2 linked regions of the Stegostoma tigrinum genome follow. The protein of the gene in region 1 purifies or fractionates together with the protein of each later gene. This does not show direct contact. Links are inferred from orthologs where the notes say so. Each region holds a gene or a part of one and is shown on either strand. Other genes may lie near its edges. The genes, in order: foxj1b and cdk20.

Region 1 (14,852 bases):
ACCACCCCATAACTTTGCTCCAACCCTCTACCAACTCCTCCATTCCCATTCCTCCACTCCAATATCTTTCCATATCCCTCTATTCCCTTCCACCTGATCCAAATCATTCTATTGTTTGCCCAACCACTCAGCTTTATGTGAATCATGCTGGGTAGTATCACAGGCATTAATGAAACAGACCCCTGGAACACTGGAAGTGGATATCACTAGATTAGAATGGGAACTGGAGAAATTAGCTTCTTCATGCTTTTAACTCATGAAGGTAACTCCACTGTACAGTAACATGGTCAAAAGGAAATCACACGTTTTCTGCTATTTTCATAGAGAACTGGCCAATAGGAGAATGCTTCACAAAATGTTCAGCCTAGTCTGTGTTGAGTTGATTAATGTTAACTAAATTCATTCATGGGATGTAGTTGGCACTGGCCAGGCCAGCATTTATTGCTCATCCCTAAATGCCCATGGGGCAGTAAAGGGTCAACCACATTGCTTTGAGTCCGGAGTCACATGTAGGCCAAACCAGATAAGGATGGTAGTTTCCTTCCCTAAAGGACATCAGTGAACCAGATGGGTTTTTACAATAATGGACACAAGGTCATCATTACGCCAGCTTTTCATTCTACATTTTTATTGAATTCAAAGCTCACCAGCTGCCACGGTGGCACTTGAACTCCTGTTGCCAGAACAATTAGCCTGTGATTCCGGATTACCACCCCAGTGGTATTATTACTCTGCCTACACCTCCACTTGAATGGAGATCATAATGTTAGCTTAGTGCCTTTCCAAAGGAGTTAAAAAGCCAGGAGTTGCAATCCTGACAGCCAGCCAATCATTTACACTTCCCCTGTCTTCATCTACAGCCAGGGTTGGACGGTTTCAGCTGATCAACTCTCCTGATCCTACAGAGTTTTACACATAAATAATGGGCACTTGTGTATAGTGTTAAAAGCTAATCAACCTCAAAAGGAACCATACCCCCTCCATAGAATCCCTACAGTGTGGAAGCAGGCTATTTAGTCCATCGAGTCCACACTGAAAATCCAACCACTATTCCACTACCCTATCCCTATAACCCTGCATTCTCCTATGGTTAATCCATCTAACCTGCACATCTTTGGACTGTGGGAGGAAACCAGAGCCACGCGGAGGAAACCCATGCTGACACGGGGAGAATGTGCAAACTCCACACAGACAGTCGTCCGAGGGTGGAATCGAACTCAGGTCCCTGGCACTGTGAGGCTGCAGTGCTAACCACTGAGCCATGAAACAAGAGACTGCAGGGGAGTGGGAAACTTGTTGGGCCTGGGGTTGGGGGTATATCCTTGTGAAAAACAAACAAAAGGAAGTATTTGGTATAACGCAAAAATCACTTGAAACAGCCTGAAAGGCATTAAATGGTCAGTGCTGGCAGAGTGTCTTTAAAATAAGCCAGTCATTTGTACAGTCTCACGTCTTTGAATAACTTTCTCCATTAAAAGATAATAACGCCTGCTGAGATTCGTACTCATAGCTCTTTTCATCCTTCGCTCCACCAAAATATAATTGGTGTCCTGTCAAAAGCAGTGATGCTGGAGGGACGCTGTTCTGGAACCATTTAATGTGTTGTTCAGATCTACCAAAACTCAACCAACAAGCAGGTTACAGCAGAGTAAGTTGAAACGCAAAATCACAACTGGAATAAGTCCAGCTCTAGATACATATGCATGACATTGACGATGCTGCTTACCCATGCTGTTTCAGGCTGTTAAATTACCATCCAGCAGGATGGCTGCCAGGCTTTCAAATTCAGATTGCACAAACAGAAATGATCAGAAATATTAAAACAGCAAGCAGAGCTTCAGATTATTGAAAGATTACCCTAGAAATATTTAACAAATGTTATGGGAGCAGCAGAATTGAAGTTATCTTCTGGATGCTATAAAATTTCCAGATGCTTACTTTACTGATGCAGACAATGAGGCAGAGTGTTTGAGCACTGATGCATGAACTATAGCCAGACGTGAATCAAATTCAATAAAAGTTCTGTCAAAACACAAGAGATCAAACAAGAAGCTCCAACATGATTTCTTAGCAACTATCCCTTAGTAATAGGAGACTCTCAATCGGGGATAGGTGCAATTATGGCCTGTAAAATAAAATCTGGATCAAATCCAACAGGCCAAGCAGCATCAGAGGAGCAGGAAGGCTGACGTTTCGGGCCGAGGCCCTTCTTCAGAAATGAAATTTCCTCCGATGCTGCTTGGCCTGCTGTGTTCATCCAGCTCTACACCTTGTTATATCAGATTCTCCAGCATCTGCAGTTCCTGCTATCTTTGGATCAAATCCAGACTGCTTAAATCACAATATTTCCCTTCTTTAGTGAGAATCAAGGCAAATACTTCATTTGGTTTTTAATTAATTTGATCTAAAAGTTACATTGCAATGTTCAACTTTCAATTCATTCTCAGCCATTTTACAACTGAGAGTTCCTGATTTGGACAACCATTGAAAACCAAGTGGTCCTTTATGAGCTGCCATCTTTCTATATAGTCCACTAAAGAATGAAGCTTCTTCACACTCTTCATCCAAATGTCAATGAGATTTGATTGGTAACGTTAATGCTGATAAACAAGGAAGGTACAATATTTAGAATTGGGAGTACAGGGAAATGGATATCTTTCAGGTAAGAAAGTTCTCTTGTTGCTTCCTAACCTGAGGCCTCTAGCCTTTGATTGGGAAATAACTACAGGAGAATGTGCCTATATTCAAGGACCAAGCAGGTTGCTACAATACAAAAGGTACACTCTCCTCAACATCATTTCACATGTCGCAAGCTCTATTACTATTGTGTAACTGGAAGGGTGGAGAGCAATATAATTAAGGATGTAAGTAATGAATCATAAGGAGGTTGTCCTTGCAAGTATGGCTAATTTCATTGCTGTCTACATTTGTTGTTAGCTACCTGAAGCTGAGCTGATTTTGATAATATAGATCTTACATATAATTTTTATTCTATGCAAATTAATCATGATGTTGTGCACAGCGCAGAGAGAATGCCACAGTTAATACCATAGGTTTGTCTTCGTGTGATAATTTATTTTGACAACTCACAAGCAATTTTAAAACATCAGTAATTTAACATGGAAGAGAATTCCTCTTAACTTTTCTGTCAAAATGGACAAAGCAAAAGCTAATGAGCATTGACACTTCTTGTGTGAATTACAGAACACCTACAGTGTGGGAACTGGTCATTCAGTCCACACTGATTATCCAAAGAGTATTCTACCCAGGCCCACCTCCCTACCCTATCTATATAACTCTGCATTGCCCATGGCCAATCCACCTAACCTGCACATCTTTGGACTGTGGGAGGAACCAGAGCACGTGGAGGAAACACACACACAGACACAGGGGAGAATGTGCAAACTCCATGCAGAGAGTCACCCAAGGCTGGAATCGAACCCAGGTCCCTAGTGCTGTGAGGCAGCAGTGCTAACCACTATGTTACTGTATAAGTAACTTGCTATGGTAATTTTTATGCTAAGCCAAAACAAAGGAAAATGAGAATCAGGAATTCTGCAGAATTAATAGGAATACATACCAGCCCAGTTGCTCTGCGCCAGTGTTTATAATCTATCCAAGCCTCCTCCTACCTTACCTCCCTTAACCATATCATCCCAAACCTCTATTCTCTATTTTAATGGAGTTCTTTGATGAGAGAATGGGTGGTTGGATGGTGAGGATAAAGCAGGAGGTGTAGGCGTTTGCAGTCATTCAAACAGAAAGGGCAAATACAGCAAGGCACAAACCTGGCTAATCAGCAGCCAGAACTGCTGAATGGTCATCTTCAAACCGGACAGATGTGCACAGTGGTATTCTCTAAGCGTCAATTTAGTAATCGCTTTTTGAGGCACATTCATGATCTGAGTGAACTTGGATATAGGGGGCTTCATTTTAAAGTTTGCAAATGACTGGAAACTTGAAGATGTGGTAAACAATGGAGTGTACAGTATCAAACATCAGCCTGGTGAAACGTGCAGACAGGGTGGCAGATGAAATATAGCAGAACAAAGTGTGAAGTGACGCATTTTCTCGAAGTTTTGGGAGAGACAAGGGAAACTAAATGATATAATTTTAAAGGGAACACAAGACAGAGTGACTTGGGGATATACATAGATAAATATTTGAAGGTAGCCACTCATGTCGAAAGACTGTTAAAAGCACATGCTGGATATGATAGAGATATAGAGAACAAAAGCAGGAAGGTTACACTAAATCTTCATAAGATACTGGCTAGGCTCCACTAGGGCACTGGGGCCAATTCTGCAAAGTCAAAGTCTTGGAGATAGTGATTTTCTAGAATGGCATCAGGAATGCAGGACTTCAGTTATCTGTTAGCAGTTGGCACCAGGACTAGGGGGCACAGGATTAATGCTTGGGTAAAATACACTAAGGGTTGTGAGAAATAACTTCCCACTTGCCAGGGAGGTGGATGCAGAGACGATGAACAATCTCAATGGTAAATTGAATGGGTACTTGTGGGAAATCAACTCAAAGTTGACTGGGTAAATCAACAGAAAGTCAGCATTGAGCTTGATGGGCCCTCTGCTAGAGTGACTCCAAGACTCAGACACGAAGATTCAAAACTCAAAAGCAATGGTTCTCCTCAGAGCTGAGGAGGTGAAAGGGAGGTTTAATCGAGGGGTTCACAGTCACAAAGGTTCCTAACAGTGTGAATGTGGAGAAATTATTCCCTGTTGCATAACGATCAGGAACCAGAGAGGATACAAATCAAAACTAACTGGATAAGAGAAGAGAGAGGACAACCTGGGGAAGAAAACCGGAAGGAGTTCTGGTCTGGAATGCACTGCCTGAAAGCCCGATGGACGCAAACTGAACAATAACCAGCAAGAAGGAGCTGGGTTAAACCTGGAAAAAATAAAATATTGTTTAACTACGATGAAAAAAGGTCTGAAATTTAGTCTAACTGGATAGATGTAACCAGGGATTGGCACAGCTCTGCTGTGCTGAATGGTCTCCATCTGCACTGTGTTATTCAATGCTGCTATTTCATTTTCCCCATGTGTTTACCTTGGTTTTCCCTCAGAATGCATCCAAGCTCCTCACGTCAACTATTCACCAGTGACTCGCATATTCTGACCAGTCTCGGGATAAAGAGCTTTCTGTTGAATTCTTCATTGAGTCTGTTGTCGACTGTCTAAAGTACTCTATCAGTCTGGGGAGTACGAATCTTACAGGACTCTGGATGACTGGTTTCCCAATTGGTTCTGTTTAAGGAAGATGAGTGCACCTTTTCCGGTACTGGTCAAGATCCCAAAAGATAAATTTTCACACTCTCATCACCAAAGTGGGAATGAAAGGTGATACAGTCCCTGTCTGGCTGACCAATCAGTTAAGTCAGCACTTGATAAATAGAACGACACCACGCTGAAATCTTGCTCCCCCTACTGCCTTTTCTTGGAGAAAGATTGCCAACTATTCCACTGTCATTATTTCACATTCTACAATTAGTCAAAAAAGTGCAAAAATAATTCCAAACACAAAAATGCACATTGAGTAACATATCGATGCGTCACATTTGGTGGCTTGCCTGCAAGAAAACAAATATCTTGCCTTCAATTCTTTGTTGTGTGAAGTAATTCTTTAAACTGAATCCCGCTGACTGTACCAAACAAGCTGATGTATACTGGGCTAGGGAGCTAAGACATACTCAAGTAAGAATCTTGCTCCAGAAACTGGAAAACTGGCTTGCACAGCAGTGTCTGTGCAGTATTCCTTGGCCAGCAAGTTTACAGAATATATCCAAGTTGCTTTCTGTGCAGTGAGAGGATAGCATCCACAGCAGCAGGGCTGCAGAGATGCGGTTCAGCTCTCTCCTGGCTTTGGGAGGACCTCAGCTAACGTTAAGGAGAGGCTGAAACCCCAGACCGAAACTCAGACTGCACTTCCCATTGATGCCACCATTCCCCTGCCCCACTGTAATTCAGCTTAAAAAGGTACAGAGAGAGGAGATGGCATTTTAGAGATAATACTGATGATACGCCAATTACTGTTCAAACATGCAGGGGTGCAGAAGAGGATTACCAAGATGTTACTGAGGTTGGAGGGTTTGAGTTATAAGGAGAGGCTGGGACATTTTTCACTGGAGTGTCGGAGGCTGAGGGGTGACCTTATAAATTACGAGGGGCATGGATAAGGTGAATAGTCAAGGACCTTCCCCTAGGGTAGGGGAGCCCCAGATTAACGGACATACGTTTAAGGTGAGAGGGGAAAGATTTAAAAGGGACCTGAGCAGTAACCTGTTCACGCAGAGGGTTGCCAGAGGAGGCTCCCACAATAACACATGTGAAAGATATTTGGACAGGTACACAAACAGGAAAGGTGTAGAGGGATATGGGCTAAATGGGACTATTTAGTCAGAAAAACTGGTCAGATTGGATGAGTTGGGCCGAAGGGTCTGTTTCCTGTGTCTCTAAGTACAAGTCAGTAAAGAATTCAACAGTGGAGAGTCTGAAGCTGCAAGACTGTGTTAGCTTGACCACCTACCTGCCAGCTGGGGTCAGCGTGCTTATAGTAGCAGAAGTTGTCGGTGATCCAGTTATAAATGGCAGACAGGGTGATTTTACTCTTCTTGCTGGCTTGCATGGCCATGCAGATAAGCGTGGCGTAGGAGTAGGGTGGTTTGACATGGGGGTTTGTCTTGTAGTCAACATCCTCTGCTGGGCTCTGGGAAGGAGGCTGAGCCTGAATCAAGGTCTTGGTGCCAGCCACAGCCGAGGTGGTCTTGCCCAGGCCAGCTGGCACACCACTGGCAGCGGTATCGCCAGCTGGAGGTGAAGCAGGGGAGTCTGAGCCGGGTGTGTGCTGCTGCTTACAGTGATGCTGGGCACCAGCAGGCTTCTCCAGGTTGGCACTGAGGATGGAGAAATCCTGCAGCCACTGAAGGCTGGTCAGACTGTCGTCCAGGTTTACAGCACCGTTCACGTTATCTTGATCATCCGGGTGCAGCATCATCCAGTTCTCCTTGAATTTCGTGGCGATTTCTGGAGAAGTCAGAACGGGCATTCTCTCTCGCTCAACCGGCAACGCTTCCCGTCGCTTGCAGCGCGGAATCGAAACTTTCTTGGCAAGGCTGAGGGAGTGAAATAAAAACGCAGGATTATTAACACGCTGAATGCAAAAGTGCTGCATTTTTCAGGGTGCAGTGCAAAAATAAAGTCAGATTCTTTCTTTTAACAAAAAAAAGAACTTGCTCAGTTTTGCACTGACGGAGACCCAGGCAATACGACGCAGTTGCTCCGTGTTACAAACAGACTGAAACCGACAAAATGCAGCAGGAAGGAGGGGGGTTAAAATGAGAATCATTAACCTCGCATTGCTTTTGACATCCTCAATCATGACCTCTCCCCTCACAGAGCTCTCCAAATATTCCGAACACCTCTCCAAAACCAGCTGCATTGTTTGTTTGTTTGTTTTCCCGAAAGCTGCAAATATAATATACTTCTGCCGCTCTATGGAACCTGTTGCGTTTCAGATTCTCTCACCTGACCCTCCGAAGAAATCCTGGCGGGTACAGTAACTCCCTCACTGAAAGACCAGGCTCCGTTTTATTCTGCTTCCAGACACACTCCGGCAGCCTGGGGTAAGGGGAGGGGAGGGTGGGCGGGGGCGAAAGCTGGAATCGAACTGGGGTCTGGCTGCAGGCTAGCAATGTGCGCTACTCCTCAGCGCTGGCTTCACATCTAACGCCGTGTGCACGATAGGCTAGGCTGATCCCTTCATTCCCACCCGCCCCCCCCCCCCTCTCGGCTACTCGGTCGCCTTTAAACAGATCCCAAGCAGATGATTGGGCACCCGTCTCCAGGTCTCACCTTTCACTGCTCTCCCAATGAGGAAAGGCAGAGAGAGCTGCAACTCGAGATAGAGAGAGAGTTTCCAAACACACACACAAAACCCCTGTCCCTCTCCCTCAGACAGACACACACACAGCCCCTGTCCCTCTCCCTCAGACACACATACAGAACCCCTGTCCCTCTCCCTCAGACACACACAGAGCCCCTTGTCCCTCTCCCTCAGACAGACACACACACAGCCCCTGTCCCTCTCCCTCAGACAAAGAGCCCCTGTCCCTCTCCCTCAGACACACATACAGAACCCCTGTCCCTCTCCCTCAGACACAGAGCCCCTGTCCCTCTCCCTCAGACACACACAGAGCCCCTGTCCCTCTCCCTCAGACACACACAGAGCCCCTTGTCCCTCGCCCTCAGACAGACACACACACAGCCCCTGTCCCTCTCCCTCAGACAAAGAGCCCCTGTCCCTCTCCCTCAGACACACACAGAGCCCCTGTCCCTCTCCCTCAGACACTCACAGAGCCCCAGTCCCGCTCCCTCAGACACACACAGAGCCCCTGTCTCTCTCTGTCAGACACACACAGAGCCCCTGTCTCTCTCTGTCAGACACACACAGAGCCCCTGTCCCTCTCTCCTTCAGACACACACAGAACCCCAGTCCCTCTCCCTCTGACACACACAGAGCCCCAGTTCCTCTCCCTCTGAATCACACAGAGCCCCAGTCCCTCTCCCTCTGACACACACTGAGCTCATGTCCTGCTCCCTCAGAGACACAGCCAGTGCCTTACAGATACTCGCTATCCACACAACCATGGGGGAGGTCTCAATTCAATTTGACTCATAGCGATCGAGAATATACAGTTCGATACTGCAGCAAAGATTGCTGTTGTAATAAACATATAATAATCTCCCAGTTCTAGAACATCCTTGAGCGTAGAAAGATATAAACTAGGAGCAGGACTGGGCTATGGGGCCTTTTGACACTGATTATTATGGCTGATCATCCAACTTTCGTTTATTTATTCACAGGAAATGGTCATTACTGGCAGCATTTATTGCCCATCCCTAATTGCCCAGAGGGCAGTTAAGAGTCAACCACACTGCTGTGGGTCTGGATTCACATGTAGGCCAGACCAGGTAAGGATGGCAGTTTCCCTCCCTAAAGGACACTAGTGAACCAGATGGGTTTTTCCAACAGTCAGATTCATGGTCAACATTAGAATCTTAATCCTGGATTTTTATTGAAGTCAAACTTCACCATCTGCTGCTGTGGGATTCAAACCCAGGTCCCCAGAATGTCACCCAAGTTTCTGGATTAACAGTTCAGTGTTAATACCAGTAGGCCATTATCTTCCCTATAAACACAGCCCCTGCACACCACCCCCCTCTCCTTTCTACCCCATACCCTTTGATCCCTTTAGCCCTAAGAAACATATCTAATTCCTTCTTGAAACATTCCATGTTTTGAACTCAACCGCTTTCTGTGGCAGCAAATTCCACAGGCTCCCCACTCACTGGGTGAAGCCATTTCTCCTCATCTCAGTCTGATGTGGCACACCTTGCATCCTTCGACTTTGACCCCGTAGTTCTGCATTCCTGTGTCATCAGGATCCCTCCTTCCTTTCTGCCTAGTCCTGTCAGAATTTTATAGGTTTCTATGAGAACGCCCTCCCACCCCATTCTTCTAAACCTCAGTGAATATAGCCCTAGTCAATTCAGTCACTCTTCATAGTCTCCCTTCCTAGCCTTTGGGTGACTCCAGGCCCATTGCATTAGGATTGACTCTTGGCTGCCCTCTGCTGGAAACTTCTACTGACCTTGCCCCTGCGATGCCCATTAAACGAACAAAGGAAAAGGGAAGCCTCTGAAAACCAAATGAGCTGACCACTCCATTACACATGACCAGCCAACTGATCTGCTCTTGACTTGTGTTCCAGTTCAGGGTACTCCCAACCAACTTTACAATACCCACAAACTGTTCTTTCCCATCTACAGATTTCCAGCCCAAATACCGACCGCATCAAATATTATCCCTAAACCAATTCCTGCATCATAGTCAAAGTTCCCAAATTCCCAGGCTTCCAGGTCACAGGCTATTGGTATGTCATTTCAGACTGAGATGAGGAGAAATGTCTTCACCAAATGAATAGTGACCGTGTGAAATTTTCTGCCACAGAAAGCACTTGAGGCCAAAACAATAAATGATTTCAAGAAGGAGCTGGGTATAGTTTAAAAGGATCAAAGTGTATGGGGCAAAACTGGGAAGTGACTTGGATGATCTGCCATGAATGGTGTAGTAGACCTGAAGGGCCAAATGGCCTACTGCTGCTGCTATTTTTATGTTTGTAAGTAAGCCAGCTTGTTATTCAAGGCTTTGTTATTCCAGTGGGATTGCTCATTGGATTAGGTCCGAGAGTAAGGACTTGATTTGCTTCTTACTTTCTTGAGGAAGAATACAAATGGGAGACGCTCCTTGGAAATTTGACACAATCAAAAAGAAATCCTATTATATATCTGAAACCTCTTCCATTCCAGGAAGGTATGAGTAAGATCTGCGTTTCCCAGATGTCAGGAATGTTAAAATAAAATAGGTTTCTTAACAAAGCAGACACCCAGCACTAGTCCAATACAGCTGTGAAATTAATCTCAAATGAAAGAGGATTATTTTTCATTTTGAATAAAATTTCATAAAATACATTTGGATAATGTGATAAAATAAATGTAACATGCTGGAATTCTATAATAATATTTTAATTGTGCAACATTTTAACTTTGATCAAAATTGTTCCAAAGATTTGAAGAATTTTAGACATTGCCTGCATTTTACAGCTTTCTCTATTTAATGATAATGTTTAAATGTTACAATGTTTAAACAAGTTTTTACTATTCCAAGCCTCTCTTCCTCATGTCAGCTACAATATTTGTAACAAAATATTAAAATGCTAGTGAGCCACTTTATTTCTCTGCTCTTGAGTTTGCCCAATAACAACCAACGTGACAATTTGCTGTAAGTAATTCTGGTTTTAAAAAGGGGTAAAAGGATCAGCTGAAGGGGCAGTGAAATGGAACTTTATTTTTTCTGTGAGGAGGAAGTTAAAAGCTTCACAAATCATTTTGATTACAGTTTACATCACACATAAACAACTGAAAAACAGCAGAAATTATTTCACGAAAATACTCGTGTGTCAAATGAAAAGGTGATGGATAGCCTTCATCTATTTTTATCAAGACTTTTTACGTTTATGTCAGATTAACCAGTTCCACACTTCAAAAGGAATTTCCAGAAAATGTCACCTGTCTTGTTATTTGAAATGTAACTTGCTGATGCAGGAACTGTAACACTGACTATGCTGCCACCTTCTGGGAATAATATATAATATCAGGTCACCGAACAAACACTGAAGAGGGTGAGTTTTGCTCAGTTGATGGAATCCTGGGGGCCTGAACAATTAAAATTATTGAGATCCTTAACAAAGCTTTCATCTTATTCTACCAAGCACCACAAAACTCTCTGGGTTGGCAAGGGTTTCAATGTAGATATTTTTAACAACATTGTATTACATGTACATCACACCTCTGGAGCAGGTAGGCTATTGACAGTACAGCCAAGCCATGTGCGCACTTCATAAATTGACAATTTTAACTTAACTCTGAGCATGGAAGACACTGCAGATGATCTGGCTCTGAAAAAACATAAAGAAACCAGCTTTCGGCCTTCCCTTCTCTGCAGGAGCCAGGCAGAGTTCTCCATGTGGATAAGGAACATTGCAGTGTTCCTATCTTAGACATTGTTGCCTCTCCCAGCATGCCCCGTCCTGCTCCTGACCAAGTGCCAGTCACCATCCAAGACCCACCTGCTCTTCCCAGAGTGATGCATGGTCTTGAATCTGGAACGGACAGGTTGTTTCACACTGCAGCTTTGACAAAATAATTTAGGCTAAAATATTAGTCAAAGGTTTGTGCAATTATTTGGTCTGTTTATGCTTGTCACCTTTTGTTATCCTTGTGCCATTTGATGGTCCCTTGTGGCATCTTAAATATTAATTTAGATTGTTTAATTATGGTTTGTATTTATTCCATGGTTTGTTGGTCAATGCGGGGATTTAAGAGAAGTCACCTCCAGAATAAATCAAGAACTAATGACCGGACATCAAACAAAAAATTGAATGTTGACCTTTGTTGACAAAAATTCTGTCTAATTAAAAGATCTAGGCCCAAACTGTCAACTTTTCTGCTCCTAAGATGCTGCTTGGCCTGTTGTCTTCACCCAGCACCACACTTCGTTATCTTAAATGTTTTACACAGTCACTTGCTGGGACAGAATGATAATCTTGCTTAAAGAAGTGTTGCCTAAGCTTTTCATTGTGCACACGCATCAGGACAAGTACGAGAAAGCCAAACCAAGACAAAGATTTTAACCACAAGAGAAATGGTCAGCTGATTGGTTGGCAAATTGACTCTCATTGGTTGACGTGTTGCCATGAAGAACTCAATGGAAACAAAAGCACCCGGTGCATTATGTCTGTTGTCGAAAGACAGTGGCCACTCACCAAACACCAGAAACTGCAGCTCCACAATTCCAGACCCAATACATCACCACCTCACTTTTACAATATGACAGCAGAGGCCACACCATGCTCACACAGAGAAGAAACACAACATTGGAATGGGGAGATTGCACGGGGAGAGTGAGGATGTGAACTGGGGACAGGAAGGGGTAATGAGGGATGTGAGGCAGAGACGAGGGGGAGTGAGGGATGTGAAGCAGGGAGGAAAGGGAGTGAGGGGCGTGGGGCAGGGAGGAGTGGGAGTGAGGGACGTGGGACGGGGAAGAGGGGGAGTGAGGGACGTGGGACGGGGAGGAGGGGCAGTGAGGGACGTGGGGCGGGGAGGAGGGGCAGTGAGGGACGTGGGGCGGGGAGGAGGGGCAGTGAGGGACGTGGGGCGGGGAGGAGAATTGGCGGGAGAAGGAGCAGCAAGGACGTGGAATGGAGGAATAGAGTGAAAGCAAAGGAGGGATATTTAGGAAAGGTGACGGGGAGGATGGGATGTCAGTCACTTCCAGCAAACATGAGTTTCAGAGATAGTAGGAACTGTAGATTATGAGCTTGACTGATTATCTGAAATGGATTTTTAATGCAGCTCTCATCACAATCAGGATAGATTCGTATGTGCTGCCCAGTCAAAGAATCTAACAGTAGGCTTCTTAGAGATAGTTGAACGCTGCAGCCCAATGGTATCAAATGTGGACTTTACAAGCTTCAAAATCTCCCCTCCCCGCCATTGTATCCCAAAACGAGCCCAGCTCATCCCCGCCTCCCAAACTTGTCCTTCCTTCCACCTATCCCCTCCTCCTACCTCAAGCTCCACCCCCACCTCCTACCTACTAACCTCATCCCACCCCCTTGACCTCTCCGTCCTCCCTGGACTGACCTAGCCCCTCCCTAACGCCCCACCTACACTCACCTTTACTGGCTCCATCCCCGCCTCTTTGACCTGTCTGTCTCCTCTCCACTTATCTTCTCCTCTATCTATCTTCTATCCACCTCCCCCTCTCTCCATATTTATTTCAGAACCCCCTTTCTCCTCCCCCATTTCTGAAGAAGGGTCTAGACCCAAAACGTCAGCTTTCCTGCTCCTCTGATGCCGCTTGGCCTGCTGTGTTCAGGAAGGCCAATTTTTATTTTACTCTGGGCACAGCGGATGGATGGGGAATGAATGTTAGTTAGTCTTCTGCGAGAGCAAATTAATTCGTCCCTCATGCAAACATTTTCTCTCCATGTCCATATCCAACTCCCCTTTGTCAATCTAGCCTTCTGCACCCACCCCCACCCCCCCAGGCAGAGCATTCCAGATTCTAACCACTGGCTAAAGAAATCATTTCCTGTTCCAGGCTTTGGACTTCCCTCAATACACAAAGTTTGACTTCGGAGTGAAGTGAGCAGCTGAGGCATCTCAGTGTATGAGTGAGTCTGCACCACAAGGTGAAGGTGTACTTACTGCCATAAATGTAAGTGTAGGTGGGAATGTCATTTAACAACACCTCGAACCATAGCAACATGCCATTCCTACAATGTCATGTCGAATGTAACCTCAGCTTCAAGAAAGACAGATTTGAAACTTGTGAATTTATTAGCTAAAAATGCAAAGTTTTGATAAAGGTATGGATAAGAGATAAAATGTGAAGTAAGAGCAGTCCGTTATTGATGCAGGCATGTTACTCGCTTCAAGATTTCTCTTTCAGATTTAAAAGGAATGAAAACTTAGTCTGAATTTAGCAGTTCTAATGGCTTCTATAGTAAAATACTTGGAGAATGCTTCTAAAGGTGTATTCAGTTAGCACAACACATGGAGATGCTTCCTTGTTCCTCACTAGCTGTACAGTTATGACATTTGCAAAATACCTAGATTCTGTGAGAAGAGCAATAGTTGAGTTCTGAAAGCCTTTTTATTTGTTTCCTTTTCCTGAGACCTGAGTCTCTGAGAAGGTGTCTCAGACTCCTGCTTGAGGTGTTCTGCCAAAATGATATCTTCACAGCCTGTTTAAGCACAACCAAAGAAAACTAACAGCTGCTTCGCTAACTCTGATAAATTGTTGTTCCAGAAAGAAGTCACATGCCAGAGATCCCTGTGGTTTCCTTTCAGTCTCCTGTTCTCTTAGAAGCTTTTAATTCTCACACCTTTGGAAAGATTCATTGTGTTGCCGAAGCGTGAACCAATTCCTAAACATGTCAGTCTGTCTGCTTTTATTGGCTCAATTGGATCAAGTCATCTCAATTCCAGGAGTCATCTTGAAAGATTGTGTCCATTAAAAAATACTCTGTGGCCTTTATTATACAACACATACTAAAATAACACTGTCAATGCAGCCTCTGAGAAAACCACACCTAGTCATGAACACAAGCCCGAAGAGCTTAGGTGCAGTTCTCAAACCGAAAGACAAAACAGGAACTCATCCATCACTATGATGGGAAATTGATAGCTAACTGCGGTCAAATA
Region 2 (15,432 bases), on another chromosome or scaffold:
TACCACCTTTCGGCCCAATTCTGCAGTTTATCCAAGTCTCCCTGCAATCTGCAACATTCTCCCACACTGTCCACCACTCCACTGACTTTAGTGTCATCTGCAAACTTACTAACCCATCCACCAATGCCTGTGTCCAAGTCATTTATAAAAATAACAAACAGCAGTGGTCCCAAAACAGATCCTTGAGGCACACCACTGGAGGGGGCAAGGCTTCTGGCAGTTCACAATAGGGGTGCCACACTGCTTCCAATGACCACTGTTGAGACACAGCAGGTGCTGTAACAGAGCAGAGCGCCGACTGTGTGCCAAGAGACCAGTTAATGCAATGTTATTTCCTTGGAGTGACGATAACTGACAACCTGTTCTGGATTTCCCACATAGACGCGATGTCAAGAAGGTACAGCAATGCCATCCTCTTCCTCAGGCAGCTCAGAAAATTTGCTGTGTCCATAAGGTCAGTCACCAGCTTCTACAGATGCACCATCGAAAGCAAACTGTCCGGGTGCATAACAGCCTGGTACGGAAACTGCTCTGCTCAGGACTGTAAGAAACTACTGAAGGTGGTGCACACAGCCCAGACCATCACAGCATTATACCTTCCATCCATGGACTGCATTTACACAGCTCACTGCCACAGAAAGGCAGCCAGCATCATCATAGACCCATCACACCCTGGTAATGATCTCCTACACCCTCTTCCATCAGGCAGATGGTACAGAAACCTGAACACATGCACCAACAGCTTCAGGAACAGCATCTTCCTGGCTGTTATTAGACTGATGGATGGACCTTCTAACCTCAAATGATGCTGATCTTGCCTAGCACACTCCGCCTCTGTCTAAGTCTTTTTGACCCGTACATCCTTGCTTACTAATGATCTGCCTGCATTGCTGGTAAACAAAGCTTTTCACTGTATTCTAGTACACAGGACAATCAATCAATCAATGTAAGGGCACAGTAAACACTCAGAAATGGAAACTCCAATCCTGAAGGTCCCCAGTTCTTGGCTCCCTAAACTTACAAACTTCGGATAGCAACTATGACGGAATGCAAATAAAGAACAGTGACAGCACGCAGTTAGACTAAGTAAAGCTCTCTACTTTTTTAGTTGGAAAATAAAGCTTTCTCCACACTGGCCTCTATCAAACACTCTCATGACAATGACAGCATCGGGTCAGAGACAGTGTTAAGCTCCCTTCGCACCACATCAAACACTGTCAGGACAGGGACAGCATGGGGTTAGATACAGTGTAATGCTACCTCTACAGCACCCCCTATGAAACACTCCTAGGGCAGGAACGTAAAGCTCTCGCTGATCCATACTCACGTATTGATTGTCCTCAATTTCCTGAAGAGCTTTAATCTCCCGCAGGGCCTGGTTCGGAATTCCATCCTCCAGTTTCCGCAGGGCAACTTTCTTGAGAGCAACTGTCTCTCCTGTCTAAAAGCACAAATAGAACAAACAGAAAATGTCTATATAAGCTCAGAGATAGTGGGAACTGCAGATGCTGGAGAATCCAAGATAATAAAATGTGAGGCTGGATGAACACAGCAGGCCAAGCAGCATCTCAGGAGCACAAAAGCTGACGTTTCGGGCCTAGACCCTTCATCAGATGAAGGGTCTAGGCCTGAAACGTCAGCTTTTGTGCTCCTGAGATGCTGCTTGGCCTGCTGTGTTCATCCAGCCTCACATTTTATTACCATGTCTATATAAGCTGTTGTGCTCACAGGGTGACAGCCGCACCTGGAACACAGTGAACAGTTTTAATCCCATTATGCAAGCAAAGAGAGACTGGCACTGGCACAGTCCAGAGAAGGTTGACTCAGCTGATTCCCAGGTATGAAGGGAATGTCTCATGACAAAAGGTTGAGTAGATTGGGCCTGTGTTCACTGGAGTTTAGAAGATTGATAGGGACCTTATAAAAACATACAGGATTGTGAGGGAATTTCACAGGGTAGATGCAGAAAGATTGTTTCTCCTTGTGGAAGAGTCTAGGACCAGAGGGAATAATCTCAGAAGGGGGTTGTACAATTAAGACAGAGATGAAAAGGATTTTTTTGTCCCTCAGAAGGTAGTGAATCTGTGGAATTCTTTACTGCAGTGGGCTGGGCCACTAAATATGTTCGAGGGTAAGATGGAAAGTTTTAATCAGTAATGGAATCTGAAGAGTCATTTGGATGAATGATTAATTGTTGTCGCATGTACCCAAGTACAGTGAAAAGTTTTGCGAGCAGGTCACAGCAAAGCAGGACATACAGATCATAGGGTGCTTAGACAGAGTGAGGTAGGCAAGGTTACGGCTGCAATCAAGTTGCATAAAAGCAAGGTCAACATTATTTGAAATTACGGATGGATTGTCTGAGTACCAAAGGTTCAACCAGTTGGCCTCTACTCACTGGAGTTTGGAAGAATGTCCTCAGTGTAACTTACAGAATTCTTTGAGGGTCTTGACAAGGCCATAGAGTCATACAGCACTAGAAACAGACCCTTTGGTCCAACCAGTCCATGCCAAACATAATCCCAAACTAAACTAGTCCCACCTGTCTCCTCCTTGGCCATATCGCTCTAAACCTTCCCTATTCATGTACTTATCCAAATGTCTTTTAAACGTTGTAATTGTACCCACATCCACTCACTCCACACACAAACCAGCCTCTATTTATACATTTTGCCCCCTTGTGTCTCGTTTAATCTCTCTCCTCTCACTTTAAAAGGTAGATGCTGAGAGGATTTTTCCCCTTAGGTCTAGGTCCAGAGGGCATAGTCTCAGAATAAAGGGGTGCCAGTTTAAGACTGTGACGGGGAGGAATATCTTCTAGTACCTAATACTGTACAACACAGGAAAGGGCCCTTCAGCCCACGATATTGAGTCAAACATCAAACACCAAATTAAACTAATTCCTTCTGCCTGCCATTGGTCCATATCCCTCCATTCCTTAAGTATTCATGTGCTTATCTAAAAGCCCCAATCATATCTGCCACCACCATCACCACTGGCAACACGTTCCAGACTCCCACTACTCTCAGTGTTTAAAAAAAAACCTGCCCCTCACATCTCCTTTGAACTTTCCCTCTCACCATAAATGCACGCTCCGAGTGTTAGTCATTTCAACTCTAGCAAAAAGATTCAGACTTCTATTGAGTCTCCTGTCAGCCTCTGCTGCTCAAGAGAAAACCACCCAAGTTTTTCTGGCCTCTCCTCGCAGCTCATACCCTCTAATCCAGGCAGCACTCTCTTTTTCACCCTCTCCTCGTAGCTCATACCCTCTAATCCAGGCAGCACTCTCTTTTTCACCCTCTCTTCGTAGCTCATACCCTCTAATCCAGGCAGCACTCTCTTTTTCACCCTCTCTTCGCAGCTCATACCCTCTAATCCAGGCAGCACTCTCTTTTTCACCCTCTCCTCGCAGCTCATACCCTCTAATCCAGGCAGCACTCTCTTTTTCACCCTCTCTTCGCAGCTCATACCCTCTAATCCAGGCAGCACTCTCTTTTTCACCCTCTCCTCGCAGCTCATACCCTTTAATCCAGGCAGCACTCTCTTTTTCACCCTCTCCTCGTAGCTCATACCCTCTAATCCAGGCAGCACTCTCTTTTTCACCCTCTCCTCGCAGCTCATACCCTTTAATCCAGGCAGCACTCTCTTTTTCACCCTCTCTTCGCAGCTCATACCCTCTAATCCAGGCAGCACTCTCTTTTTCACCCTCTCCTCGCAGCTCATACCCTCTAATCCAGGCAGCACTCTCTTTTTCACCCTCTCTTCGCAGCTCATACCCTCTAATCCAGGCAGCACTCTCTTTTTCACCCTCTCCTCGTAGCTCATACCCTCTAATCCAGGCAGCACTCTCTTTTTCACCCTCTCTTCGCAGCTCATACCCTCTAATCCAGGCAGCACTCTCTTTTTCACCCTCTCCTCGTAGCTCATACCCTCTAATCCAGGCAGCACTCTCTTTTTCACCCTCTCCTTGTAGCTCATACCCTCTAATCCAGGCAGCACTCTCTTTTTCACCCTCTCCTCGTAGCTCATACCCTCTAATCCAGGCAGCACTCTCTTTTTCACCCTCTCTTCGCAGCTCATACCCTCTAATCCAGGCAGCACTCTCTTTTTCACCCTCTCCTCGTAGCTCATACCCTCTAATCCAGGCAGCACTCTCTTTTTCACCCTCTCCTCGTAGCTCATACCCTCTAATCCAGGCAGCACTCTCTTTTTCACCCTCTCCTCGTAGCTCATACCCTCTAATCCAGGCAGCACTCTCTTTTTCACCCTCTCTTCGCAGCTCATACCCTCTAATCCAGGCAGCACTCTCTTTTTCACCCTCTCTTCGCAGCTCATACCCTCTAATCCAGGCAGCACTCTCTTTTTCACCCTCTCCTCGTAGCTCATACCCTCTAATCCAGGCAGCACTCTCTTTTTCACCCTCTCTTCGCAGCTCATACCCTCTAATCCAGGCAGCACTCTCTTTTTCACCCTCTCTTCGCAGCTCATACCCTCTAATCCAGGCAGCACTCTCTTTTTCACCCTCTCCTCGTAGCTCATACCCTCTAATCCAGGCAGCACTCTCTTTTTCACCCTCTCCTCGTAGCTCATACCCTCTAATCCAGGCAGCACTCTCTTTTTCACCCTCTCCTCGTAGCTCATACCCTCTAATCCAGGCAGCACTCTCTTTTTCACCCTCTCTTCGCAGCTCATACCCTCTAATCCAGGCAGCACTCTCTTTTTCACCCTCTCCTCGCAGCTCATACCCTTTAATCCAGGCAGCACTCTCTTTTTCACCCTCTCCTCGCAGCTCATACCCTCTAATCCAGGCAGCACTCTCTTTTTCACCCTCTCCTCGTAGCTCATACCCTCTAATCCAGGCAGCACTCTCTTTTTCACCCTCTCCTCGTAGCTCATACCCTCTAATCCAGGCAGCACTCTCTTTTTCACCCTCTCTTCGCAGCTCATACCCTCTAATCCAGGCAGCACTCTCTTTTTCACCCTCTCCTCGCAGCTCATACCCTTTAATCCAGGCAGCACTCTCTTTTTCACCCTCTCCTCGCAGCTCATACCCTCTAATCCAGGCAGCACTCTCTTTTTCACCCTCTCCTCGTAGCTCATACCCTCTAATCCAGGCAGCACTCTCTTTTTCACCCTCTCCTCGTAGCTCATACCCTCTAATCCAGGCAGCACTCTCTTTTTCACCCTCTCTTCGCAGCTCATACCCTCTAATCCAGGCAGCACTCTCTTTTTCACCCTCTCCTCGTAGCTCATACCCTCTAATCCAGGCAGCACTCTCTTTTTCACCCTCTCCTCGTAGCTCATACCCTCTAATCCAGGCAGCACTCTCTTTTTCACCCTCTCCTCGTAGCTCATACCCTCTAATCCAGGCAGCACTCTCTTTTTCACCCTCTCCTCGTAGCTCATACCCTCTAATCCAGGCAGCACTCTCTTTTTCACCCTCTCTTCGCAGCTCATACCCTTTAATCCAGGCAGCACTCTCTTTTTCACCCTCTCTTCGCAGCTCATACCCTCTAATCCAGGCAGCACTCTCTTTTTCACCCTCTCCTCGCAGCTCATACCCTCTAATCCAGGCAGCACTCTCTTTTTCACCCTCTCTTCGCAGCTCATACCCTTTAATCCAGGCAGCACTCTCTTTTTCACCCTCTCTTCGCAGCTCATACCCTCTAATCCAGGCAGCACTCTCTTTTTCACCCTCTCTTCGCAGCTCATACCCTTTAATCCAGGCAGCACTCTCTTTTTCACCCTCTCTTCGCAGCTCATACCCTTTAATCCAGGCAGCACTCTCTTTTTCACCCTCTCCAAAGCCACTTCAGAGGAAATAACCCTGGCTTTTCCAGATTAAAAAAAAACCTATAGAACTGCGGATGTTGTAAATCAGGAACAAACTTGCCCCTCACGTCCCCCCCTTGAACTTTCCCACTCTCATCTTAAATGCATTTCAACTCTGGGAAGAAGATTCAGACTTCTGACACTCCTGAGGAAGGGTCACCGGACCCGAAAGGTTAACTCTGATTCTTTTCTTCTTCACAGAAGCTGCCAGACCCGCCGAGCTTTTCCAGCAACTGCTCGTTTTGTTGCAGGTTTTTCCGATATCTCCTCATGGCTCGTTCTGGGAGGGTTGAGAGTCTTTGGATTTCCCCAGGGCCAGTGGAGTCCAAAACTGGAGGGGCACAGGTTGAAGGTGAGAGAGGGGGAAAGATTTAAAAGGGACCTGAGGGGCAACGTTTTCATTCAGAGGGCGGTGCGTGTGTGGCATGAGCTGCCAGAGGAAGTGTTGGAGGCTGGTACAGTTACATTTAAAAGGCATCTGGATGGGTCCATGAATAGGAAGGATTTAGTGGGATATGGGCCAAACGCTGGCACATGGGGCTCGATTAATTCTGGACATTTGGTTGGCACAGGTTGGACCCAAGGGTCTGTTTCCTCGCTGACCTGCTTGCCACAGAGAGCTGTTGGGGGGGACCGGGTCCCGGCGTATATTGAAGGCCGAGACAGATTCATGGTGGGCCGGGGAATGGAAGGGACATCAGGAATATTGGGGCCAGCAGGCTGGAGGGGCCGAACGGTCCCCGGACATCATGAACCTCCTGATCCTATGTCTCATGGAAGGTGGGGATAGAGACAGGAGGCGAGAGACCGCATGTGAGGATAGTCAGGAAAGGCACGATGTCAGCGGTGGGATAGAATGGAGCCAACGGGCCGAATGGTCTCGGGGTCTGGTCCCTGGCTCAGGAGGGTGGGTGTCAAATACTGGGAGGGGTGGGCGGGCCGCACCTCGATATGCTTAGCCTTGAACACGATTCCGTGTGCCCCCTCCCCGACCCGGCCAAGGATGTTGTACTGCTCCATGGCTCAACCCCGCGGAGCCCGGCGGCTTGCGGCTGAAGCCTGCGGGTTAGGCCGCGGGGTCGCCAGGGCAACGGGGGCGGTGCGACGTCATCCTCCCTTACGGCCGCCGTACTTAGGCGTGATGTCATCGCGCACGACCCCATCCGCCGAGGGCAACCACGCCCACTACCGCGCGGAAATGTCACCGCCCCCTTAAAGGGACAGTCCATGGAACGAAGGCAGACTGATGGGGCTTCCTGGAGGTGGCCTGTTGAACCTGCCCCATTCCCTCCGCTCTTCATGAGTGTATGTCGTGGAGGTCCCCAAGGTCATCATAACCCTGCCACCTAGGTATTCTAATCCCATTAGGGGCTGGACGGGGTTACAGGGATAGGGAGAAGGTGACAGGGGTGGGGAGGAGGTATACGGGACTGGAGGAGGTGAAAGAGATAGGGAGGGGATAGAGGGGACTGGAGGAGGGGATAGAGGGAGGGAGGGGATATAGGGGATTGGAGGAAGGGAAAGAGATAGGGAGGGGATATAGGGGACTGGAGGAGGTGAAAGAGGGAGGGAGAGGGGGAGGGGATATAGGGGACTAGAGGAGGGGAAAGCGATAGGGAGGGGATATAGCAGACTGGAGGAGGGGATATAGGGGACTGGAGGAGGGGAAAGCGATAGGGAGGGGATATAGCGGACTGGAGGAAGGGAAAGAGATACGGAGGAGGGGATATAGGGGACTGGAGGAGGGGAAAGAGATACGGAGGAGGGGATATAGGGGACTGGAGGAGGGGAAAGAGATACGGAGGAGGGGATATAGGGGACTGGAGGAGGGGAAAGAGATACGGAGGAGGGGATATTGGGGACTGGAGGAGGGGAAAGAGATACGGAGGAGGGGATATAGGGGACTGGAGGAGGGGAAAGAGATACGGAGGAGGGGATATAGGGGACTGGAGGAGGGGAAAGAGATACGGAGGAGGGGATATAGGGGACTGGAGGAGGGGAAAGAGATACGGAGGAGGGGATATAGGGGACTGGAGGAGGGGAAAGAGGGAGGGAGAGAGGGAGGGGATATAGGGGACTGGAGGAGGGGAAAGCGATAGGGAGGGGATATAGCGGACTGGAGGAGGGGAAAGAGATACGGAGGAGGGGATATAGGGGACTGGAGGAGGGGAAAGAGATACGGAGGAGGGGATATAGGGGACTGGAGGAGGGGAAAGAGGGAGGGAGAGAGGGAGGGGATATAGGGGACTGGAGGAGGGGAAAGAGATAGGAAGGGGATATAGCGCAGTGGAGGAGGGGAAAGAGATCGGGAGGAGGGGATATAGGGGACTGGAGGAGGGGAAAGAGGGAGGGAGAGAGGGAGGGGATATAGGGGACTGGAAGAGGGGAGGGAGATGGGGAGGGGATATAGGGGACTGGAGGAGGGGAAAGAGGGAGGGAGAGAGGGAGGGGATATAGGGGACTGGAGGAGGGGAGGGAGATGGGGAGGGGATATAGGGGTCTGGAGGAGGGGAGGGAGATGGGGAGGGGATATAGGGGTCTGGAGGAGGGGAGGGAGATGGGGAGGGGATATAGGGGTCTGGAGGAGGGGAGGGAGATGGGGAGGGGATATAGGGGACGGGAGGGGGCCGGAGAGTTTGGGATGCGGCGCGGTTTGCAGAGACACTGAGAGAAGGAGCCCGCACTGTGTTGGTTTAACTGGCCCTTTCCCAGTGAATGGGTTTGTCGCCGGTGCAGACCCAGTGACAGTCGCAGAGCGATCCCAGAAAGGAGGCACGTCTGTCGCTGTCTCCCCCGCCCCCATGAGGCCGGAGAACTTCAGAAACAGACCTGGGGAGTGTCGAACAAGAAGAAAACCTCCCTCCCAGAAGCTGGGAGCTGGTGAGCTCCAGCGGGGAACTGGATTTGACAAAACACGGAAGTGGCAATTACTTCCCTGAAAACTTTGGTTAACTTGAGAGTAAAGTTGGGGATTGAAAGGCGATAAATTTGCTTTGTACCTGCGACAGGGTGGGTAAGGTGTGAATATCCCTCTTCCCCCATTTGGTTTGTTTCATATGTCAAACAAAAGAAAAACTTTGTCAGATTCCCGACAATTGACAGGCCCCGGGGTTTTGCTTAGTCTTTCACTGTCTGTCTCTCAGCCCCGAGGTGAGAGGCCGGTTCTTGTCCATTTAGTTGAGTTTTGATTCGGAGAGAGATTGGGTAGCGGGGCAATGTTTACCTGCATTTTATAATTCACTGAGATTGGGTCCTGCCTGTGACAAGAGGATTGTACCCGCAGCTCAGTTTGTCTGATGCTGCAATTCAAACGTCCGCAGGGACGTGAATTTAACGCATTTTGCGCACATTTGCGCCACAAAGTGTTTACTTACAAATGTTTCTGTCTCCTACTAAATCAGTGTGTAATTACTGCGAGTGATGAGAATGCAATGAGGAGGCGATGTCAAGTAGTGTTGTCGCTAAGCGTTAACCCCACAGTCAGGTAACGTTCCCGGAACCCCAATTCGAATCCCACATTAAGAATAGATCTTGACCGTGGAAGCAGTGTAAAGACCCATCTGGTTCACCAATCTCCTTTAGAAAGGATTGTCAGTGCTAAGGGAGCGGGCACTGTCGGAGGGTCAGCGCTGAGGGAGCGCCGCACTGTCGGAGGGTCAGTGCTGAGGGAGTGGGCACTGTCGGAGGGTCAGTGCTGAGGGAGCGGGCACTGTCAGAGGGTCAGTGCTTAGGGAGCGGGCACTGTCAGAGGGTCAGTGCTGAGGGAGCGGGCACTGTCGGAGGGTCAGTGCTAAGGGAGCGGGCACTGTCGGAGGGTCAGCGCTGAGGGAGCGGGCACTGTCGGAGGGTCAGTGCTGAGGGAGCGGGCACTGTCGGAGGGTCAGTGCTGAGGGAGCGGGCACTGTCGGAGGGTCAGTGCTGAGGGAGCGGGCACTGTCGGAGGGTCAGCGCTGAGGGAGCGCCGCACTGTCGGAGGGTCAGTGCTGAGGGAGCGGGCACTGTCGGAGGGTCAGTGCTGAGGGAGCGGGCACTGTCGGAGGGTCAGTGCTGAGGGAGCGGGCGCTGTTGGAGGGTCAGCGCTGAGGGAGCGGGCGCTGTCGGAGGGTCAGCGCTGAGGGAGCGCCGCACTGTCGGAGGGTCAGTGCTGAGGGAGTGGGCACTGTCAGAGGGTCAGTGCTTAGGGAGCGGGCGCTGTCAGAGGGTCAGCGCTGAGAGAGCGCCGCACTGTCGGAGGGTCAGTGCTGAGGGAGCGGGCACTGTCAGAGGGTCAGTGCTGAGGGAGTGCTGCACTGTCAGAGGGTCAGTGCTGAGGGAGCGGGCGCTGTCAGAGGGTCAGCGCTGAGAGAGCGCCGCACTGTCGGAGGGTCAGTGCTGAGGGAGCAGGCACTGTCAGAGGGTCAGTGCTGAGGGAGTGCTGCACTGTCAGAGGGTCAGTGCTGAGGGAGCGGGCGCTGTCAGAGGGTCAGCGCTGAGAGAGCGCCGCACTGTCAGAGGGTCAGTGCTGAGGAAGTGGGCGCTGTCAGAGGGTCAGCGCTGATGAAGCGGGCGCTGTCGGAGGGTCAGTGCTGAGGAAGTGGGCGCTGTCAGAGGGTCAGCGCTGATGAAGCGGGCACAGTCGGAGGGTCAGTGCTGAGGGAGCGGGCACTGTCAGAGGGTCAGTGCTGAGGAAGTGGGCGCTGTCGGAGGGTCAGTGCTGAGGGAGTGGACACTGTCAGTGGGTCAGCGCTGAGGGAGCGGGCACTGTTGGAGGGTCAGCACTGAGGGAGCGGGCACTGTTGGAGGGTCAGCACTGAGGGAGGGGGCACTGTTGGAGGGTCATCTTATAAGGGTGAAGCCCACTTCAGGAAAGTTGTCTGCCATGAAGGGGGTTTGTGACACTTTGAGTTTGAGAAAATCTCTGGATAAGTAGATCCTTGTTGCCTTCCTGGAACATTCTGATTTTTTTCCAAATGAAAATGCCTATATACGGCAGTCCCAATTTCCACGTGGATACCTTAAATGAGTAAAACCCATTTTATTTTCTCTGTGTTCTTTTGTGGGATGTGGGTGTTGTGGGTCAGAACAATATTTGTTGCCTGTTGCTAATCAACGTGAGGCTGGAGTCATGTGTAGGCCCAGATGGGGTGAGGGTGGCACATTTCCCTGCCTCCATCGACTTTTGTGAACCTGATGGATTTGTACATGAATTGACATTCTTTGTCATGGTTCGGACTAGCTCTCAGTTCCTGGTTTTATGAATTGAATTTAAATTCTCCCGGGGCCATGGTGGGATTTGAATCCGTGTCTCCCTGCAGCATGACTGTCGTGACTTTACCATTTTATCCCATTGAACAAACCAGTCCTGTTATTCCTGGTAACATGTGCCCCATTCTCTGTTTCAGAACCCTGCCGTCTCCCCACTGGATATTGCTGAATCAATGACGAAGCCTGTTCACCTGAAGGTTGTCCTTCTGGGCGATTCTGGGTAGGATGAACCAAATAGACTGCTTCCGCACTGTAGCGGTTCTTTGATTACTGTCCTGTAGGGTGGGGGGGTCCCCTTTTATTTGTGACCCCTTCCTCCCCCACCCTGTCACTACACCTGCACAGACTGGGAGTCACCAACACCCTGTATCTTGGGTGATCATCTGCCAGCTATTTGCTGAGCAGTCCCAGTTGCATGAGTAACTCCCCTGAACAAACCATTTAAGACAATCGGTCAAACCCCTTTTTGGAATTAACCAGGAGTCTGAGCAACCTGTAGGCCTATCCCTGGCAATGCTGCATGCAATTACAAAGGTCTTGCTTCTCATGAAATTTAAATTCTTAAGCATGTCCTGATGATGTCTGTGTTTACAGCAAGGTTCTTGTGTGTTACAAAGTGATTATTTAGTGTGTGCTACTTTTATTCAGTAACATGCCATGTGTTATAACAGGTTAGTGTAGCACCCTTACCATACTTCTGGGCCCCTAATTGATTATAGGAGTGTGGATTGAGCCCCAAGCCACACACACGAGATTTCAGGGAAAAGTGACCAAAACCTCAGCCAGGTTTGTCTTCAAGGATCATCATAAAGTTGCGGACAAGAGAAAGGAAGAGTCAGGGAGCTTTAGGGAAGCCTAAAAGCCCTCCGGTTCTTCCTGTCCCCCAGGCCTGACCAGTTCCCCTCCGTTGACACCCTCATCCGCCTAGTTGAACTCAACCTCACCCTCAACAACTTCTCTTTTGATTTCTCCCACTTCCTACAGACAAAGTGGGTGGCCATGGGTACCCACATGGGCCCAAGCTATGCCTGCCTCTTTTTAGGTTATGTGGAACAATCCCCCTGCCGTACCTACACAGGCCCTAAACCCCACCTTTGCCTCCGTTACATGGATGACTGTATTGGCTCCGCCTCGTGCTCCCACGAGGAGCTCGAACAGTTCATCCACTTCACCAACACCTTCCACCACAACCTCAAGTTCACCTGGACCTCTCTGATACCTCTTTCTCCTTCCTGGACCTCTCTGTCACCGTCTCTGGTAACCTTGAAACTGATATCTATTTCAAGCCCACCGACTCACACAGCTACCTAGAATACGCCTCCTCTCACCCACCTTCCTGCAAAAATGTGATCCCCTATTCCCAATTCCTTCGCCTCCGCTGCATCTGCTCCCAAGATGAGGCGTTCCACTCCCGGACATCCCAGATGTCCTCATTTTTCAAGGACCGTAATTCCCCCCAGCGCCATCCCATTGGTCGAAACTGCCCTCAACTGCATCTCTTCTGTTTCCTGCACCTCAGCTCTCAGACCCACTCTCCACAATAAAAACAAAGACACAATCTCCCATGTCCTCACGTATCACCCATTAACCCCTGGATTCAACGCATCATTCTCTGCCACTTCGGCCACCTGCAATCTGACCCCACTAAGAAGGGTATACTTCCCTCCCTACCCTTATCTGCCTTCTGGAGGAACCACTCTCTTCACGACTTGCTCATCCACCCCATACTCCCCAGCAGCCCCACCACCCCCAGCATCTTTTCCTGCAACCACAGGAGGTGCTACACCTGCCGTTACACCTCACCCTTCACCTCTATCCGAGGCTCCAAGAAAACCTTCCACATTCACCTGCACATCATCAACGTGGTCTATTGTGTCTGCTGTTGCCAATGTGGCCTCCTCTACATTGGCGAGACCAAGCGGAGGCTCGGAGACCGTTTTGTGGAACACCCACACTCCGTTCGCAATAAAGACAACACTTCCCAGTTGTGAACCACTTCAACTCCCCCTCCCACTCCCTGGGCGACATGTCCATCCTAGGCCTCCTCCAGTGCAACAACGATGCCACCCAAAAACTGGAAGAACAGCACCTCATATTCTGCTGGATAGCCTATAACCCAATGTACTTCATTAGTTTCAAAATCTCCTCACCCTCTGACCTGATCCCAAACCATTACCCCCCCTCTCATCCCCGCCTCCTTCATCTATCCATCTTCCCTCCCACCTGTCCACTCCTCCCTCCTCACTGACCAACCCCCATTCCAATTTCATACCTACACTCACCTTTATAGCTTCATCCGTGTCTCCTTGACCTGTCCGTCTTCTCTCCCATGTATCTGCTCCACAATCCACCTTCTATCACCGCGCCCCCTCCCCATTTATTTCAGAGCCCTGTCTGTTACCCCCCTCTAGCCCCTTCCCCTTTTCTGAAGAAGGGTCTAGACCCAAAATGTCAGCTTCCTGCTCGCCCTGCTGTGTTCATCCAGCTCCACACCTTGTTATCTCAGATTCCAGCATCGGCAGTTCCTGCTGTCCCCAGGTTTAGGGAGGGCTGTATTCCAAATTTGATGTGGAGGTGCCAATGTTGGACTGGGGTGGACAAGGTCAGAAATCACTCAACAGCAGGTTATAGTCCAACAGGTTTATTCAAAAACACAAGCTTTCCAAGCACTGCACCTTCTTCAGATGTTAGTGAGAGAGGCAATATCAGACACAGAATTTATCAGTACAAGATCAAAGGCTCACACCACTGATGAGGATGTATTAAATAACCCTAAGATGCTGTTAAATCTTTAATCAGTTTGAGGGTTTTAATTGATCAGTATGTGTATGTAAATCCCTGAGTTTGTTTTAAGTTACAGTCCTGAGAGAACTAAAGGTTTTACCATTGTAAAGAAGAGACGGGACTTTAGGTCAGACAATAACGTTAGGTGTGAGACCCAGTTCTGAGGAAGGGCCACTGGACCCGAAATGTTAACTCTGTTTTCTCCTCCACAGATGCTGCCAGACCTGCTGAGCTTTTCCAGCAACTTTGTTTTTGTCCGATGTATAGACCTTGTTTAGAATCTGTTTGTGTTTCGGTTTGGAGTCAGACTGGTTTTATTTTTAAAGTAGGAATTTGTAGAACATCACATTGACTGACTGTCTGTACATTGTGTGCTTTTTGAACAAAATATATCTGCAAATACAAATTGACCCCATACACACACTCACCTCTTCCGCCCCTGCCACGTGCGCGCACACGCACCCTGTCTGACTTCAAACCAAAACACAAACAGATTCTAAACAAGGTCTATACATCGGACAAAAACAAAGTTGCTGGAAAAGCACAGCAGGTCTGGCAGCATCTGTGGAGGAGTAAACAGAGTTAACATTTCGGGTCCAGTGGCCCTTCCTCAGAACTGGGTCTCACACCTAACGTTATTGTCTGACCTAAAGTCCCGTCTCTTCTTTACAATGGTAAAACCTTTAGTTCTCTCAGGACTGTAACTTAAAACAAACTCAGGGATTTACATACACATATTGATCAATTAAAACCCTCAAACTGATTAAAGATTTAACAGCATCTTAGGGTTGTTTAATACATCCTCGTCAGTGGCGTGGGCCTTTGATCTTGTACTGATAAATTCTGTGTCTGATATTGCCTCTCTCACTAACATCTGAAGGGCTGAGGCTCCAAAAGTTTGTTCTCAAATAAACCCGTTGGACTATAATACCTGCTTTCATGCGATTTCTGACTGTATTCTACATAGGGAGGGTGTAGGAGCTGGAGGGGGTGACAGAGATAGGGTGGGGGGCACGAAAGGGGCTGGTGGAGGTGATAGGGCAGGGGTGTCGGGGCTGGAGGAGGCGACAGGGAGGGATGTAGGCGGCTGGAGGGGGTGACAGAGTCAGGGAGGGAGTGTAAGGGGCTGGAAAAAAATGGATGAGGAGAGTGTCGCCAGCGAACATGGGGTGACTGGTGATTGGGACTCTAATGTCAGGACTGGACACAATCCTCCAGGCAGAGGCTGAATCCTTTTCCCCCCAGCATTGTGGAGTCCAAAACTAGAGGGCATAGGCTTAAGGTGTGAGGCGAAAGATTTAAAAGGGACCTGAGGGGCAGCGGTTTCACGCAGAGGATGGTGTGTGTATGGAATGACCTGCCAGAGAATGTGGTCGACGCAGGTACAGTTGCAACATTTAAAAGAAGTTTGGACAGGTACCTGTATCGGAAAGGTTTAGAAGGAAATGGGACACGTTTGGTTTGGGAAACCTGTACGACATGGACGAGTTGGTCCGAAGGCTCGGTTTCCATACTGTTGTAACATCCGCAGGCTGTGGCAGGAAATGACGAGCCAGCACAGATAATTGGGCC

Evidence for each region.
Region 2: the proteins of foxj1b (region 1) and cdk20 purify together in Homo sapiens (affinity purification with mass spectrometry; 3 studies listed by BioGRID and IntAct, counting the BioPlex papers as one, with this or other methods). This does not show direct contact. The link is inferred for Stegostoma tigrinum from reciprocal best matches to the Homo sapiens genes FOXJ1 and CDK20.

The regions. Positions count from the first base shown.
Region 1 is NC_081376.1:5,683,290-5,698,141, reverse strand, and holds the start of foxj1b (forkhead box protein J1-B), read right to left. Parts: upstream 7,473-14,852; 5' UTR 7,459-7,472; coding exon 7,370-7,458; intron 7,133-7,369; coding exon 6,547-7,132; intron 1-6,546. UniProt on the Homo sapiens protein: Transcription factor specifically required for the formation of motile cilia. Acts by activating transcription of genes that mediate assembly of motile cilia, such as CFAP157.
Region 2 is NC_081402.1:3,298,413-3,313,844, forward strand, and holds the start of cdk20 (cyclin-dependent kinase 20), read right to left. Parts: upstream 6,949-15,432; 5' UTR 6,853-6,948; coding exon 6,778-6,852; intron 6,185-6,777; coding exon of another isoform or gene 6,034-6,184; intron 1,442-6,033; coding exon 1,328-1,441; intron 455-1,327; coding exon of another isoform or gene 382-454; intron 1-381. Other genes in the region: ras-related protein Rab-7a-like, read left to right, coding at 382-454, 6,034-6,184, 11,214-11,296. UniProt on the Homo sapiens protein: Required for high-level Shh responses in the developing neural tube.